Mus musculus: one gene and its partner. Each later gene encodes a partner of the first gene's protein in a complex. Links are inferred from orthologs where the notes say so. Each region holds a gene or a part of one and is shown in the gene's direction. Other genes may lie near its edges.

Region 1 (3,573 bases):
GGGGCTGAGCTGGCTGCCATGTGCTGTCTAGTCCTGAACCCCAGGTTAAAAAGACCCACTGTCCTGGGAATAGATGTTCACACCCTTAGTCCCAGCACTGAGGAGGCAGAGGCAGGTGGATCTCTGTGAGTTCCAGGCAAGTCTGGCTACACACACACTCATGCACACATATATTCACACACACATGCACACACACAGAAACTCTTTTATAGGTATGTGTTGCTGTTATTACTATACCTGAGGTAAACTGAGGCAGAGAGATTGGCCTTCAGATATAAGTTGTAGATTAGGGCACCAAGTGGGCACGGAGGTGCTCACCATCATCCCAGCACTCACGAGGTGGAAGCAGGGGGATTAAGGGTTTGAGACTAGCCTGGGCTACGTGAGATTTTGTTTGTTTGTTTATATATTTATTTACTTATTTAATTTTGAGATAGGGTTTCTTTGTCTAGCCCTGGTTATCCTGGAACTAGATCTGTAGACCAGGCTGGCCTCAAACTCACAGAGCTCCACCTGCCTCTGCCTCTGCCTCGCTGGTACTGATTTTAAAGGTACATGCCACCACTACCTGGCCCTAAGTTTTTTTTGTTTTTTGTTTTTTTTTTGTTTTTTTGTTTTTGTTTTTCAAGACAGGGTTTCTCTGTATAGCCTTGGCCTGGAACTCACTTTGTAGACCAGGCTGGCCTCGAACTCAGAAATCTGCCTGCCTCTGCCTCCCGAGTGCTGGGATTAAAGGTGTGCGCTACCAAGCCCGGCTCTTTTTTTTTTTTTTTTTTTTTTTTTTTGAGATCCCATTTTTAAAAAAAAGAAAAGAAGGAGGCAGAGGCAGGTGGATTTCTGAGTTCGAGGCCAGCCTGATCTACAAAGTGAGTTTCAGGGCAGCCAGGGCTATACAGAGAAACCCTGTCTCGAAAAACCAAAAAGAAAAAAACCAAAAAAAAAAAAAAAAAGAAGATGGATGTCTGCTGAGTTTTCATTGGTATTCAGCAGCATGGATGATGCTGACATGGAGACCCTGAGGGGCACACATCTCTCCATGACACCCCCACTGTCGTGTCCCAGGGAGGAAGTAGGGCTGTGGCCAGGATGGGGCAATACAACGGCCTCTGGTTCCAGCTATAAGTATGGCTGTTAGGTAGGGATGTGGGGAGCCGCGAGAACACAGCCCACCATGGCCCTTGGCAGACTATCCAGCCGGACTCTGGCTGCCATGCTACTGGCATTGTTCCTGGGTGGTGAGTGCAAACAGACACATGTCCACCCTTCTGACCTCTGGTCCATCTCTTTCATCTACTTGCACATCTGCCAGGACCCCAGGAAAAGATGTGAAGGTTTATAATGGCAAAGCCACGATCAGGAAACTGGGTTTCTAAGGAAACTGGGGTTCTAAGCCTGAGGGTGGTTACTGTGAAGGCACTGGGTCTCAAGTCTAAGGGCAACCTGGGCTAGGTCCCTTGTCTTTTCTCTGCCTCAGTTTCCCTAGCCAGCCTTGTGAGTTCTCACTGAGGGCCCCAGCAGCTCAGGGCTCACTCTTCTTTGTGTGTTCTCAGGCCCAGCACTGGCCTCAGAGATTGTTGGTGGCCGGCCGGCCCGGCCCCATGCTTGGCCCTTCATGGCATCCCTGCAGAGGCGTGGAGGTCATTTCTGTGGTGCCACCCTCATTGCCAGGAACTTCGTCATGTCAGCAGCCCACTGTGTGAACGGCCTGTGAGTCCCCTTCCTTCCCCTCTTAGCCCTCAATGTCCATGCGGGTCAGACTGGGGTCAAGAGGTCAGGTGGGCATTCCCAATAATTCTCCTTCCCTCTCCATTGCCCTTAGAAATTTCCGGTCAGTGCAGGTAGTGCTGGGAGCCCATGACCTGCGGCGACAGGAGCGCACTCGACAGACCTTCTCTGTGCAGCGGATCTTCGAGAATGGCTTTGACCCATCACAACTGCTGAACGACATTGTGATTATCCAGGTGGGCCTGCCAGTTCAGGAACCTGAGCCTCGTGCAAAGGTCCCGAGGTCAGCTTAGGGAGAGTGCACTGCAGAACAGGCTGCAGGACAGGTACACACTGGGTCAACTGCAGTCATCACCCTCTGAGCCTGTTTCCAGCTCAGCACAGTGGAGAATTAACTATTCTGTGGGCTGAATGTTGAAGGCTTAAATGAGATAATATACAGAAAGCTCTGAGCAGTATTCAACCAACAAACTCTTATTTGTGCCTTTCCACACACTGACCCTGAAGCTTGGGGAACTCTTGGAAAATACTCACGTCTTCCTCTAGTTCTTAAATTTTTTCACCACTTGATGGTCAGGTACTAAGGAAAGTGGGGAGGGTTCTTATAAACTGTGCTCTGTGACTTCTTGGTGTTCTATGCCTCCCCCCCCCCCCCCCCCCCGTGTCTTCCACTGTAGCTCAATGGCTCCGCTACCATTAACGCCAACGTGCAGGTGGCCCAGCTGCCTGCCCAGGGCCAGGGCGTGGGTGACAGAACTCCATGTCTGGCCATGGGCTGGGGCAGGTTGGGCACAAACAGACCATCACCCAGTGTGCTACAAGAGCTCAATGTGACAGTGGTGACTAACATGTGCCGCCGTCGTGTGAACGTATGCACTCTGGTGCCACGTCGGCAGGCAGGCATCTGCTTCGTAAGTACCCTCTGCAGCAGCAGGGATAGTAGTCGGACCCCAGGGAGGACTTCCCAGTGCTGGAGCATGGGTAGGGGATGACTAGAGATCCAGCCTCTGACATGGACGCCTCCACAGGGGGACTCTGGCGGACCCTTGGTCTGTAACAACCTTGTCCAAGGCATTGACTCCTTCATCCGAGGAGGCTGTGGATCTGGATTGTACCCAGATGCCTTCGCCCCTGTGGCTGAGTTTGCAGATTGGATCAATTCCATTATCCGAAGCCATAATGACCACCTTCTTACCCATCCCAAAGACCGAGAGGGCAGGACCAACTAGGACCTGTCTGCACTCCCACCCCGCTCCCCTTGCTCCCTTGCTCCCCCCTCTACCAGAGACCTCTCCATTTTACTACAATAAAAGCAGCCTTTGTTTTGTACACTGGGTCTGATGTCTGCTGCTTCAGGATGTAGAACACAGCCAATGCCTCGTATACGGTTCACCTCCTGGAGACGCTGCAGCCAAGCTGGGGCAAAGGTGTGGCAGGAGTCACGTCCCCCACTTTGTACAAAAGAATGTCCGTCAGACAGGTCTTTTGGTTTCTGTTCCTAAATCCCATGTTCAGCTAGGTCTCAGCATTTAGGAGGTTGAAAAAGGAGGATTACCAAGAGTCTGAGGACAGCTTGGCCTACAGAGTGAGAAAAATAGAGGGTTGGAGAGATGCTTAGCAGTTAGGAGTGTCTGCTGCTCTCATAGGGGACCTGGACTCCCATATGGTGGCTCACTATTGCCTATAGGCCCAGTTCCAGGGGACTGGATGCCCTCCTTTGGACTCTGTGGGCACCAGGCACATATATACACCTTCTACACATAATTAAGAAAAGTGAGCTTTTCTGCGCTCTCGCTGGACCAGTGAGCAGGGACGGCCTCAGGATGCAGAACGACGCCGGCGAGTTTG
Region 2 (4,171 bases), on another chromosome or scaffold:
CTGCTAACAGCTGGCTCCTGGCTTAGAGAATACCTTGTGGAGCCCAGTACTTAACACATAGCCTTTTTGTGTCTGTTTCAATGTCTACAAACTTCCTTTGAGGAACAAGTGGGAAAATTACAAGGACCATGACATCTCAACATCCATCATGGCTGCCTCAATAAGACCTGGATACCAGTTGACATGCCATGGTGGAAGGGGGAATCTCTCGGAGCTTCACCCCTAGATGATAAAATACAGGTACTTAAAGATTGCCAAGAGAGGGGGTCTTTCCTAAGGATGAGCCCAGTTGGCTATCTAATATCAAGTGATCAGCCCTAAAAGACATACACACATGAGCAGCACTAACCTGACTCAGTAGGTTGTATCAGTATATCTATTCATATACACGCAGAACAGTAATAATTAAAGAAAGAGAGGCCAAGAGAGGCCGAGAACTTGAGAAGGAGGAGGGTGGGGGGTGAGATTGGAGGGGGTAGACAGAGGAGGCAAATGGTATAAATGCACAAATATGGAATCTACAGAGATGGTGCCACGATGCTGACGTAAGGCTCAGGATTTGCAGGAAGGCTCGGGATTTGTAGGAAGGGAATCTTGGGTTGAAGTCTACAGAGAACGATATCTCTTCTGATCATTGGATGCAATCAACACACACCAGGGAGCATCCATAGTGGGCGGAATGCATGGCAGCCATAGTTTTTGGCTGACATCTGAAGCCTGTGGAGGATTTAGGGGTAGGAAGAATGAATTCCTTTAACAAGTCAAAGGACACCACAGCTCCACGCTGATTGCAGCGATGAGTAAGAGGCCCTGTCTCTTTCCTCCAGTCCGCATCAGTGATCTCTATTAGCCATTGATGCAATTCATTCATTACTTTAAGGGTCATTTTAAGCCCTTAATCTTAAAACCAGTCCCAAGTTGTTTCACGACTAAGAGACTGAGCTCCAACAAGGTTGGCTGAAGGCAAGGCCCTTCTGTGTGTAACTTTCATTTGTTTAGGGATTGCTTTCCAGGTTCCAGTCATGGAATGGGCACCGGGCAAACAGCGGTGCAAATGATTTGGCAGAAATCAACATCAGTTGGTTGAGCCATGCGTCATCTTCATCTCGAGAAGGAATTTGTATTGAGCAATAGGTTAGAGTTTCAAAATCCCAGAAAGTCCAGGAACATTAAAAAAAAAAAAAATAGAGGTGTATGGCAGAGTTTCAGCCGAGAGTCCACGTGTGATGTCTCAGCTTCAGGTTAGGGTAACCCTTTTGTGACTGGTTCTTCTCTACTAGTGAGAGCAATAGTCTTGGGATTTCACAATGCTCAGGGCTCAGGTGATCACTTGCAATGTCCCTCTGCTGATAACTTCCAAGACAGCTTCTGTCATTTTCAGCTCTCAGGTGGTTACTCTGATGGCCTCATGGTCCTGCCTGAAACAGAAAGTCTGCCACCTACTTCTGTAGCAGCAAGACTCCTGTTCTGTGGCTAAGCTTCCTGCCTGTGCAAGAGCCACAGGGAGGGGCCAAATGCATGCCACTGGGGCCACGCCTCCTGGTAAAGACATAAATAGTGATCCTCGGGACTGGTCATCAGAGCTCCCCTGCCTTCACCATGAAGTCCTGCGGCCTTTTACCTTTCACGGTGCTCCTTGCTCTGGGGATCCTGGCACCCTGGACTGTGGAAGGAGGCAAAAATGGTGAGTTGGAGTTGCTTTGGTCCAACATTGCCTGGAGTATCAGAGGTGGGGGCTCCTGATGGTTTGGGCTGTTTTTCAGTTTACTCTGACCTCAGGGCGACATCTGTGTCTCGCTGGGGTCTGAGGTCTTGATGAAGTTTCAAGGCATGTAGAGGTGCTCCTCTTATGCAGCCATCCTGTCAGCTCAGGTCTCACACAGCTCTGTCCCTGCCCTTTAGCCTTTCTGTTTGTTTCTGTCTCTGGCTTTAGTTCTCAGCATCTCACATATTAGTTCCCTTCCTATTTATTTCTCTTGGTCTCCATTATTCCTGCTCCCACCTTCTGTCTTTGTGAGATCTTGCTTAGCCCTGAGGTAGAAAACCTTGACTGGGAGCCCGGTACCTTTTATCCTCAGTCTGATTTTTCCTGGTCACATGTCTTGGTTGACCAAGTCTGACTTTTCCTCCCTAGGTCAGCCCGGTATTTCTCTTTGAAGTTGTGGGCCACTGGAATGAGGGTCTATATTCTGAGATGTGGACCTTCGTCTAGGAATGATGATAGTCCGTACCCTCCTAACATCTTGAGCTTCTCTTTAGATGCTATCAAAATCGGAGCCTGCCCTGCTAAAAAGCCTGCCCAGTGCCTTAAGCTTGAGAAGCCACAATGCCGTACTGACTGGGAGTGCCCGGGAAAGCAGAGGTGCTGCCAAGATGCTTGCGGTTCCAAGTGCGTGAATCCTGTTCCCATTCGCAAACCAGGTGAGCCAGCAGAGAAAACAGAGAGGGGACAATCAACGTCAAGAGCCACCCAGAGTGAATGAAGAGTCCCTCCCAGGCATCCTTGTTTCTAAGAGCTGTTGGGTCCAACATGTCAGTTAGTCAAGGCCTCTTGCTGCCATTGGCAGGAAGAGCCATTTGCCTGCAGTTGCCACTCTGTGAGGATGATGGCTTTACAACCATTCGGCCCTTTCGGGGCTGGAGAGCTGGTCCCCTGCATTGGCTGGAGGCTAGATGGTAGCGAGGAAGCAGGTCCTCTTTCAGGAGGCGTGTTTGGGAGGAGGTGACAAAGGTGATGGGTGGATGGGGACGAACTTCCTCGCTCAGGAAGGAGATGTTGGGTTAAAGACATGGAGATGTGTTGCCTGAGCCCTAAGACATCGGCCCTGTGAATCCTTTCTCAACAGTGTGGAGGAAGCCTGGGAGGTGCGTCAAAACTCAGGCAAGATGTATGATGCTTAACCCTCCCAATGTCTGCCAGAGGGACGGGCAGTGTGACGGCAAATACAAGTGCTGTGAGGGTATATGTGGGAAAGTCTGCCTGCCCCCGATGTGAGGTAAGGAGTGGGCTGGGGTAGGCAGAGCTCATTTCTCTCCAGCCCTTTTCTGCTTCAAGGTTCTGGAGCTCGAAGCACATGCGCCAGGAGATTCTATTCTAATCAGGAGCCCCTGTCTGTTTGCCGTTTAAGGGAACTGTCCCCTGTTTCTTAGGGCAAAGCTTAGCATTGCCTGAGGCTTTGATCCTGTGGCAGCCTGTCAGGGTAAGGGCCTCGGGTGAATGGCTCTCAGAGTCTCTGCCTGCACAATAGAAATACCGAAGTTGAAGTTTTGCGAGGCACAGTATACGTTATTTGCTTCCCATGTTATTTACTTCATGGTGTCTCTCTGGTCAGAGCACAAAGGATAGGTATAATGTGAGGAATGTCTAGCTCAGTGCTCTGCGTTTTGAGTTTTACAACGACAACGAGATTTGAACCTGTTCTCCTGAAACCCCAGATCCTCTCAAGTCCAGCCCCACTTTACCCTTTGACCGTTCTCAGCATGCTCCCTTACAAGGGCTGGATAGGAATGATCTAGCTGGTTCCTATGTTGAAGGTCTTTCCTTACTTTCTCTTGTAGCCTGATCCCTGACATTGGCGCCGGCTCTGGACTCGTGCTCGGTGTGCTCTGGAAACTACTTCCCTGCTCCCAGGCGTCCCTGCTCCGGGTTCCATGGCTCCCGGCTCCCTGTATCCCAGGCTTGGATCCTGTGGACCAGGGTTACTGTTTTACCACTAACATCTCCTTTTGGCTCAGCATTCACCGATCTTTAGGGAAATGCTGTTGGAGAGCAAATAAATAAACGCATTCATTTCTCTATGCACACCGTGACTCTGATTCACTGAGGGGATGAGATGGGTGTGGTAGGAACCAATAAAGGAAGGATGGGAACGAGGCCTCCCTCTTACATTCCGGGAGGAGAAGGATGAGAATTCCAGGCTTGGGCATGCTTGAACCTTCCAAATATCATGTTTTTATCTGCAAAGTGGCAACAGGGACCGCTTTCTTACAACGTGTAGTGCACCAGAGGTTGCAGAATGGTGCAAAGTGTGTGTGTGCTATACAGCTGTGCTTTACCAGAGTGCCTTCACACACCACGGCCACTTATTGCTACCCGGCGTTATGAAAATGCGGTGCATGTGTGTGCACGCACACACATGTGCAGTGTGCTTACTTGTATGTGTTTTTGAAG

The links. Proteins that work in one complex are often made in the same cells at the same time.
Region 2: the proteins of Elane (region 1) and Slpi are in contact, whole or in part, in a crystal structure (PDB 2Z7F), measured with the Homo sapiens proteins. The link is inferred for Mus musculus from reciprocal best matches to the Homo sapiens genes ELANE and SLPI. Residues at the interface, in NP_001963.1 of Homo sapiens: His53, Phe54, Cys55, His70, Cys71, Asn74, Val75, Pro111, Val112, Asn113, Leu114, Leu158, Ile165, Leu180, Arg182, Val197, Cys198, Phe199, Gly200, Asp201, Ser202, Ala216, Ser217, Phe218, Val219, Arg220, Gly221; in NP_003055.1 of Homo sapiens: Tyr93, Gly94, Gln95, Cys96, Leu97, Met98, Leu99, Pro102, Phe104, Met121, Cys122.

Annotation. Positions count from the first base shown.
Region 1 is NC_000076.6:79,885,164-79,888,736, forward strand, and holds Elane (neutrophil elastase precursor), read left to right. Parts: upstream 1-1,148; 5' UTR 1,149-1,171; coding exon 1,172-1,235; intron 1,236-1,550; coding exon 1,551-1,707; intron 1,708-1,819; coding exon 1,820-1,961; intron 1,962-2,402; coding exon 2,403-2,636; intron 2,637-2,753; coding exon 2,754-2,954; 3' UTR 2,955-3,053; downstream 3,054-3,573. UniProt on the Homo sapiens protein: Serine protease that modifies the functions of natural killer cells, monocytes and granulocytes. Inhibits C5a-dependent neutrophil enzyme release and chemotaxis. Promotes cleavage of GSDMB, thereby inhibiting pyroptosis. Promotes blood coagulation.
Region 2 is NC_000068.7:164,353,701-164,357,871, reverse strand, and holds Slpi (antileukoproteinase precursor), read left to right. Parts: upstream 1-1,364; 5' UTR 1,365-1,599; coding exon 1,600-1,684; intron 1,685-2,259; coding exon 2,260-2,421; intron 2,422-2,846; coding exon 2,847-2,995; 3' UTR 2,996-2,996; intron 2,997-3,488; exon of another isoform or gene 3,489-3,558; 3' UTR 3,559-3,802; downstream 3,803-4,171.